Linked DNA regions of Bombyx mori. The protein of the gene in region 2 purifies or fractionates together with the protein of the main gene of each other region. This does not show direct contact. Links are inferred from orthologs where the notes say so. Each region holds a gene or a part of one and is shown on either strand. Other genes may lie near its edges. The genes, in order: TIMELESS-interacting protein and protein timeless homolog.

Region 1 (3,412 bases), on a different chromosome or scaffold from region 2:
TAGAGAGGCTATTCCAGCGTAACCGTAACTAGTAGGTGAGCTCACGGGGCTCAAACCTGACGACGTTGCTAACACGAACCCTAGCAAGAGCCGTGCTTCGCAGAATCTACCACCGGATCGGAAACGCGACCCACTGAGAAGATCCGGCGAGAAACTCAGTAGGGATACTTGGGGTCGACATTTCGAGCGATGTCCAGTTTCGGAGTCATTTGGAAGGCAAAGCCAGGTTGGCGTCCAAAATGCTGGGAGTCCTCAACAGAGCGAAGCGGTACTTCACGCCTGGACAGAGATTTTTGCTTTGTAAAGCACAAGTCTAGCCTCGCGTGAAGTACTGCTTCCATCTCTGGGCCGGGGCCCCCAAATACCAGCTTCTTCCATTTGACTCCATACAGAGGAGGGCCGTTCGGATTGTCGATAATCCCATTCTCACGGATCGTTTGGAACCTCTGGGTCTGCGGAGGGACTTCGGTTCCCTCTGTATTTTGTACCGTATGCTCCATGGGGAAGTGCTCTGAGGTATTGTTCGAGATGATACCGGCATCTCGTTTTTACCACCGCACCGCCCGCCACCGGAGTAGAGTTCATCCATACTACCTGGAACCACTGCGGTCATCCACAGTGCGTTTCCAAAGGTTTTTTTTTGTCACTTACCATCAGACTATGGAATGAGCGCCCCTCCACGGTGCTTCCCGAGCGCTATGACATGTCGTTTTTCAAACGAGGCCTGTAGAGAGTATTAAGCGGTAGGCAGAGGCTTGACTCTGCCCCTGGCATTGCTGAAGTCCATGGGCGACGGTAACCACTCACCATCAGGTGGGCTGTATGCTCGTCTGCCTACAAGGGCAATAAAAAAATATATATATGCGTAATACGCGAGAATAAACTCAGCTTTTTTTTTATTGCTTAGATTGGTGAACGTGCTCACAGCCCAGCTGGTGTTAAGTGGTTACCGGAGCCCATAGACATCTACAACGTAAATGCGCCACCCATCTTGAGATATAAGTTCTAAGGTCTCACTATAATTACAACGGCTACCCCACCCTTCGAACCGAAACGCATTACTGCTTCACGGCGGAAATAGCCGGGGCGGTGGTAGCTACCCGTGCGGACTCACAAGAGGTCCTACCACCAGTGATTACGCAAATTATAATTTTGCGGGTTCGATTTTTATTACACGATATTATTCCTTCACCGTGGAAGTCAATAGTGAACATTTGTTGAGTATGTATTCCATTAGAAAATATGTTAGTGTTATGAGTTTAAATTTTGAATTCTTCGGGTGTCGAACGCGAGTTCGAGGAGTATGGTAAATAGTGGTCGAAATGCCTAAAAGCACCAATGCAATCCGAAAGAACGCATCTGAAGTCAACAACAACTCTAACATGGCAGCACCTATCTGTCACTTTGTCATGTCTATCTATCTATCTAATGTGTTGATAGTGGTATTAAGAATGTGAGTGAATAGGTATTCATTAAATCTTGGCTTGATATTGAATGCCCTGCATTGTGTATAAATGCAGGTGTCTATGGTTCGTTCTTCCCTTTCCTCTCGGTGCCGTTGCACGGTATGCACGCTATACTTTAAGTTCCTAATTATAATATTTACTAGCTGACCCGGCAAACTTCGTAGTGCCTCAATCGATAAATAAAAGACCTAAACTTTTGTATAAAATAAACTTAAAACAAACAAAAGGAATCCGTCCGACGGGGCACACATCAAAGGAAAAACAAAATTGTTATTTTTATTTAATTCCGAGCCTTTTCACATTTTTTCACCTTTTAAATCTTCTATGGACTTCCACGAATAATTCAAAATTAGCCAAATCGCTCTAGCCGTTCTCGAGTTTCAGCGAGACTAATGAACAGCAACTCATTTTTGTATATATAGATTGTACTGTCTGTCCGCTTGATTACCATCAATAAACTGCTGGATGTTTACTTGTTCTGGAACCCCACGCAAGTTCCACCTGCACGACTAACACGAACCAAAGGCCCGCGTGTCATTGACCTGCTCTAATAAGTGGGACATGATATAATAATACTTTATTGTGAAAATGTTTGATTTCAGATCTCAAATACTACCAAAAGCAACATCGTCTCCTTCTATAAACGAAGAACAACGAGAAAGGATGCTTAGAAATAGGCAATTGGCTGAAGAACGGCGTTTGGCTAAGCTCAAACAAAATGTCAATGTTGAACAAAAGCGAATTAATAATGATAATTTAGAAACAAACAAACAGATTGATGATATAAACAAAGTAAACAATGAAGAACAAACACTACAAAATGGGGAAACACGATATAGCGATGGAATTGAACACAATGGTGCAGTAGATAATTCATTACACATAAATAAAAGTTTGATAGAAAATCAAACTGTCAATAATGATAATCATAATCTAAAAGAAGCTCTTAACATAACTAAAGTACTTGAGCTTCAAACTAAAAATAGCTCTCAGGAAAAACCTATGGAAATTCATAATACTGAAAAGGATACAACAGAAACAATTGAAAATATTGAATTATGTGTGCCAAATGATTTGATTGAAGCCAATATAAACCAACGAACCGAAAAAGTTACAACATCTATTAATGATAATACACAAATTGATGAAATAAATAATATGGATGAAGTTGACAAAGAAAATAATTTAGATATTTTAGTAGATGACTTACGTAACAATGAAACCAATGTTAGTAAAATAATAGATCACAGTAAAGAGACAGAAGTAATTGACCCCTTATTTATTAATGATTACGCAATGGAGATTAATTTTAGTGATGAGGATTTCTAATGGTTAAATGAATAAAATACAAATATTTTTATGGCAACATCCGCATTTCTATTATTTAATACAACAGTGACAATACAATTTTTTCCTACAGACACGGCTCACTGAGTTTCTCGCCGCATGTTCTCAGTGGGTCGCGATTCCGATGCGGTGGTAGTCCAGCGAAGAACGCCTCTTGCTAGGGCTAATGTTAGCAATGACGTCAGGTTTGGGCCCCGTGAGCTCACTACTACTCAATAACATTTTAATACAACGCGGGCAACTTGTCTATCAGTAAAAAAAAGTGCGTGCGTACAAAGTACACATGTCAGAAATGAAACTTTTTTGGCGAACTAATTTATAAGTCTTGCTTATATTTATACAAATCTAAAACTTTAGATTTCCGAGACTTAGAGGAAGGAAAAAAGGGAGATATGTTCCCGCCAAAAGTCTGTCAAATGTCAATCTCTAACCTCAGTGTTGACGGTCACATTAAGTTTAGATTTCTAAATTGTAAATGACTAATATTTTGCCAATTGAATTGACTAATTTAATTTCATGCTATTTGATTAATGTTCCAAATTCTTTTCATTTCATTTCATTTCAATTCCTATTAACATTTTTCACAAAAAAATTATAAA
Region 2 (4,494 bases):
GTTTCGATTTTTTCCCGCCGCTAAAATCTAATTTCGATATGTCGTTTAATGGCTTCAAGCTAATTATCTCGTTGTCCGATATAGATTTCATGTTCTGCACAACATATGTTCCTCCGAATCGAGAGTGCCTGTGATTATAATTTTTTAAGTTTCATTAGGCTATTTTATTTTCACAGTTTATTTAAAAAAAGTTTAAATATATAAGAAAATCTTTTATGAACAAATCCACATAATTTTATAATTAAAGGAAGAGATAATCCATATGAAATATGAAGTTAAATGTTGTAGGTTTATTTGTTTGGTGACAAAATTAATAACTCTCAAAATTTTACAGTCATTTATCATTTTCTTTTTGAATTGCTAATTTAAAATATTATATGGAAAAATGACATAGGAAACTTGTCTGCTGTTTGGAGCAAAACAAATTTAAATATTTCTGAATAATCACCCTTATCTTAATATCATTAATTGTATATAACGCAAAGTAAATTCCTTTCATCTAATCGTATCAGGTTTGGATTAACAATTATGAATAAACTCATTATTGAAGGAATTTTATTCATTTATTTTAGTACTGCAACAATGTTTATTACGATACCTTGTGGCAGAGTACTGCTTAATTTTGCTGAGTCTTAGATTATTTTCTGTCATTCTTAAAGATAGTAATTCCTGTTCATCTTTTAATTTTTCATCCACACTCCTTTGTAATGCAGCATCAGCAAGACTGCTTGGATTTTGTTCTCTCAATAAATGTGATATTATTTCAATTATATGCATAAAGTACTGCTTTTCATTCTCTGATGACATGTATAAAATAATATCTAAAATACCTGATTGATTTAGGCTCCATAAAACCTAAAATTATTTTAAAAAATTAATACCTAAAAAGTACATTTAATTTTAGTGTAATAGAATTTTGAGTATATTTGTTTTATGTGCATTTTAGATTATTTTTAATAGTTTGACAGTAACCAGCTAACGCAAATTATAAAAGCTCATAAAATGAATGAAATATATATTGTATTTTTGCGTAATTTAAGAATGTTTCTTGTAGTTGATATAATGAAATTATCTGACACACTATCAATATACAATTGAAGTGATAGAGAAGGTCTTTTAATAAATCAGTCTCATGCTAAATGCATGAAATACGGTAAGCAGTGGCTTGGCTCTGCCCCTGGCATTGCTGAAGTCCATGGGCGACGGTAACCACTCACCATCAGGTGGGCCATATGCCTATATCGTCGTCTGCCTATAAGGGCAATAAAAAAAATACATTTATCAAACAGTAATGGTACATACCAGAGTATTCTTTATTAAATTAAATTAAATTAAATTATTATTTACCTGATCATGTATATTAGCATCATTTTCAGGCCTTTTCTCTTTATCTAAATCAGCAGGAACATGTAACACATTTCTGATTAAAATTAATATTCTTTCAATTATCAATCCTGTGTCCTCATCTCGCTCTGACCAGTCCTGTTCAATGTATGATAATGCAATATAAAAATACTCAAATTGTTTAAGTATTGATTTTTAAATTATTTTTGATTTTAAAGGCAGCCTGTTGCACTTTCAGTAAGTTTCATCTTATGTATGCCCCTGAGCCCAAATGTTCTATGAAGGCCTGTCAAAATAGCCAGCCAAATCTCTTGGCTAACATTTACAAGACCTGGCTTTCTCTATAGTCAGATTCACATAGAAACTTATGAGTATGTGTTAACCCTGAGGCATTGCTCCACTACATAGTGCATTCAGTTTTGGATTAGTCCTTCAGTACATTATGGGCAACTGTCATTAGAATTTTTATATATGATTCAGGTCCTATCATTGCTTTATTGGTGCAATATTGCATTGTAATATTTGAAGTGGATAAACAGGTAATATTTTTATAAATTAACAGTTAGTTTTTTTTTAATATTTTATACCATAGCGAGAGAGAAACCTGTTTAAGAATAACTGCTGTGTCTGCCAACTTTGAGCAGTTATAAGTTAAATAAAAGTTATGTTGCGATTATTATGGTTATTTTTATCTGTTTTCTAACCTATGTAAAATTTTAAGGTATAAATTTTCACGATGATCAGTATTATTATTTTTTAATGATGTACATCTTAACATTAAGAAGGTATTTTATCATCATCACAAACATACAATATCTGAGTATTTAGAAGTTACCTAATATTCATTTGTGGATTACCTAAGTTATAAATTTTTTCATATGAGCAAGGAATAAAATTTTACTGACAAGATCAATTCCAATGAATCTTATTAAATATATCTTACAATAAATTGTTTTTACTGTAACTTACAGTTTCTAATATTTTTGCTAGTTTTTGTGAGAAAACATTCCAAATATCAACTTTGCTAAATGCTTCTTCCTTATATGCTTGTAAATGCGTGAGTATTTGCAAATAGTTGTGTCTCGCTGTTCTTTCGGTTGGTACTTCTTCTCTGTACAAGAGCAGAGCTGGGTTTGTCAAGTTTACTAAAAGTCTGAAAGATACAGACATTGTTTAATCGGATACCATTCAAATTGACCAGATAGTTGGAAGTTAAAGAATTTACCTTAGAGTTACATCAAACAGTTCAGCATTCTCCCAATGATCTATTAACATCCGAAGTAAATCAGTTTGTAGCACTTTTGTTTGGCCCAAATGCCTTCTTATTTCATGATCTTCACCATCGCGACGCAAATATCGAATAAGATCTTTAACGGTATTAATGGTAAATTCATCAATTAAGTATTTACCGGTTTTTTTGTCAAAAGTTCCAAGGGCATTGCAAGTAGCAGAAAGTTCAGCTGATAATAATGAAGACATTTTATTTATTGAAAATGGTATGTACAAATTATTTTACTTCGTATAAGATCTTGGCTTTTCACTATTCACAACAGGAAATGATCATTTTATCAAATGATTGTTACATCCGAGAGTATTATAATAATAAATATTTACAAAGCTGTTTTGTTTTGAATATTTTTTAGGTTATAAAAGTTCACCCAATTATATTATGACATTTAAAATGACATGACATTTAAAAGCCCGCGAAACGAATTTTCGTTCAGAAACAAACAATTTTCAGGTAGATGTCGACGTTGGAAATCAACACTACGATAAATAAAGATAAACAAGCCCTCTGAAACTGTTGAAAAAATTACATATTAAAGAAAGAAACACTGATTAAATAACCATATTAGGGGCTCGGTTTTGAAATCTATCAAGAACTAGACATTTACGGTTACCAAGGCAATGTGAATATTATAAATATACACAGAGAGGGTGTTTTCTTATTGGCTTCCATATTGTCTCTACTTAAAATAAAGTTTTGTACAAAAAATATGTTGTTCATCAATTGGTAGTACTAACTACTATTTTATGTTTTTTTTTTAATCCTGAGTGCCAATCACTATAGCACCCATATTACGCTTAAAATATGTATTTGAAACACACTGTGGGTGAATGCAGCAGTTATGTTGACCACGTGAATAACAAAAATGAATTGGCTACAGCTATAATTTATCCATCATGTCCTGTCTTATTTATTTCATTAGGGATTGAGTAAACAGATGGATTATTCATCATCCTCATTAAGATTCTTTCACATATTTCAAGTCATGTCAGCTTTTCGCTAGCTCGTAAGCTTTTTCATTTCCCTTGGCACCTCCATGTCCAGGTACCCCAATTAAATTGCCATTGTTGAATCCTCCTCATTTATTATGGGTCTAAATATAGTTCAGCGTGTGTGCCGATCCTATTCCATAATTCAGCAGTGACAAGTACAAAACCGATTCATATTGTTTTAATAATTGTAACAGTTCTTGGAGTATATGACAGCATCCATTCCTGTAGTGTACAGACGGTTTTAAAATCAGTTCAGGTACATATTAAAACATTAAACGATAAAGCCTTGAATGAAGTTGAATGGTGAAAATTTGTTGTCATTAATTTATCCATGCCTTATATAGCTTAGGCTTTGGAAATATAAAATCGATTTTTGAAGTGAAACTTCCTTATCGGCGTTGGAAAAAAATTTACCGTCACATTTTTCGGTTACGTGTCACATTTTTCCGTTACGCGCCATCTTTTTTGTATTCATGTCTATGATAATAAAATCCTTTTGTTTAAACTTTATCTAATTTAACTTTTTTGTATTCATGTCTATGATAATAAAATCCTTTTGTTTAAACTTTATCTAATTTAACTTTATTTAACCAATTTCTAGAAAGTTGCATGTAGATCATTTTTCGAAAAATAAGGCCATAAAGAAGTTTCACTTCTTACGTGTGTACACTAGTACACGCACACATTTTTTTTTTATTAGTGGAGGAGCTCACGCTCCATTTGGTATTAAGCGGAGCTCATAAACATTAATATTGTAAATACCACCATGAGTTCTAAGGTTCAGTTTTATAGTACAACTGTTGCCCCGAAAACGGAAATGCTTTTTTTTATTGCTTAGATGGGTGGACGAGCTCACAGCCCACCTGGTGT

What was found.
Region 1: the proteins of protein timeless homolog (region 2) and TIMELESS-interacting protein purify together in Homo sapiens (affinity purification with western blotting; 6 studies listed by BioGRID and IntAct, counting the BioPlex papers as one, with this or other methods). This does not show direct contact. The link is inferred for Bombyx mori from reciprocal best matches to the Homo sapiens genes TIMELESS and TIPIN.

Annotation. Positions count from the first base shown.
Region 1 is NC_085134.1:1,831,897-1,835,308, reverse strand, and holds the end of TIMELESS-interacting protein, read left to right. Parts: intron 1-2,068; coding exon 2,069-2,795; 3' UTR 2,796-2,832; downstream 2,833-3,412.
Region 2 is NC_085115.1:6,779,113-6,783,606, forward strand, and holds the start of protein timeless homolog, read right to left. Parts: upstream 3,060-4,494; 5' UTR 2,824-3,059; coding exon 2,570-2,823; intron 2,498-2,569; coding exon 2,314-2,497; intron 1,483-2,313; coding exon 1,348-1,482; intron 856-1,347; coding exon 599-855; intron 129-598; coding exon 1-128. UniProt on the Homo sapiens protein: Plays an important role in the control of DNA replication, maintenance of replication fork stability, maintenance of genome stability throughout normal DNA replication, DNA repair and in the regulation of the circadian clock.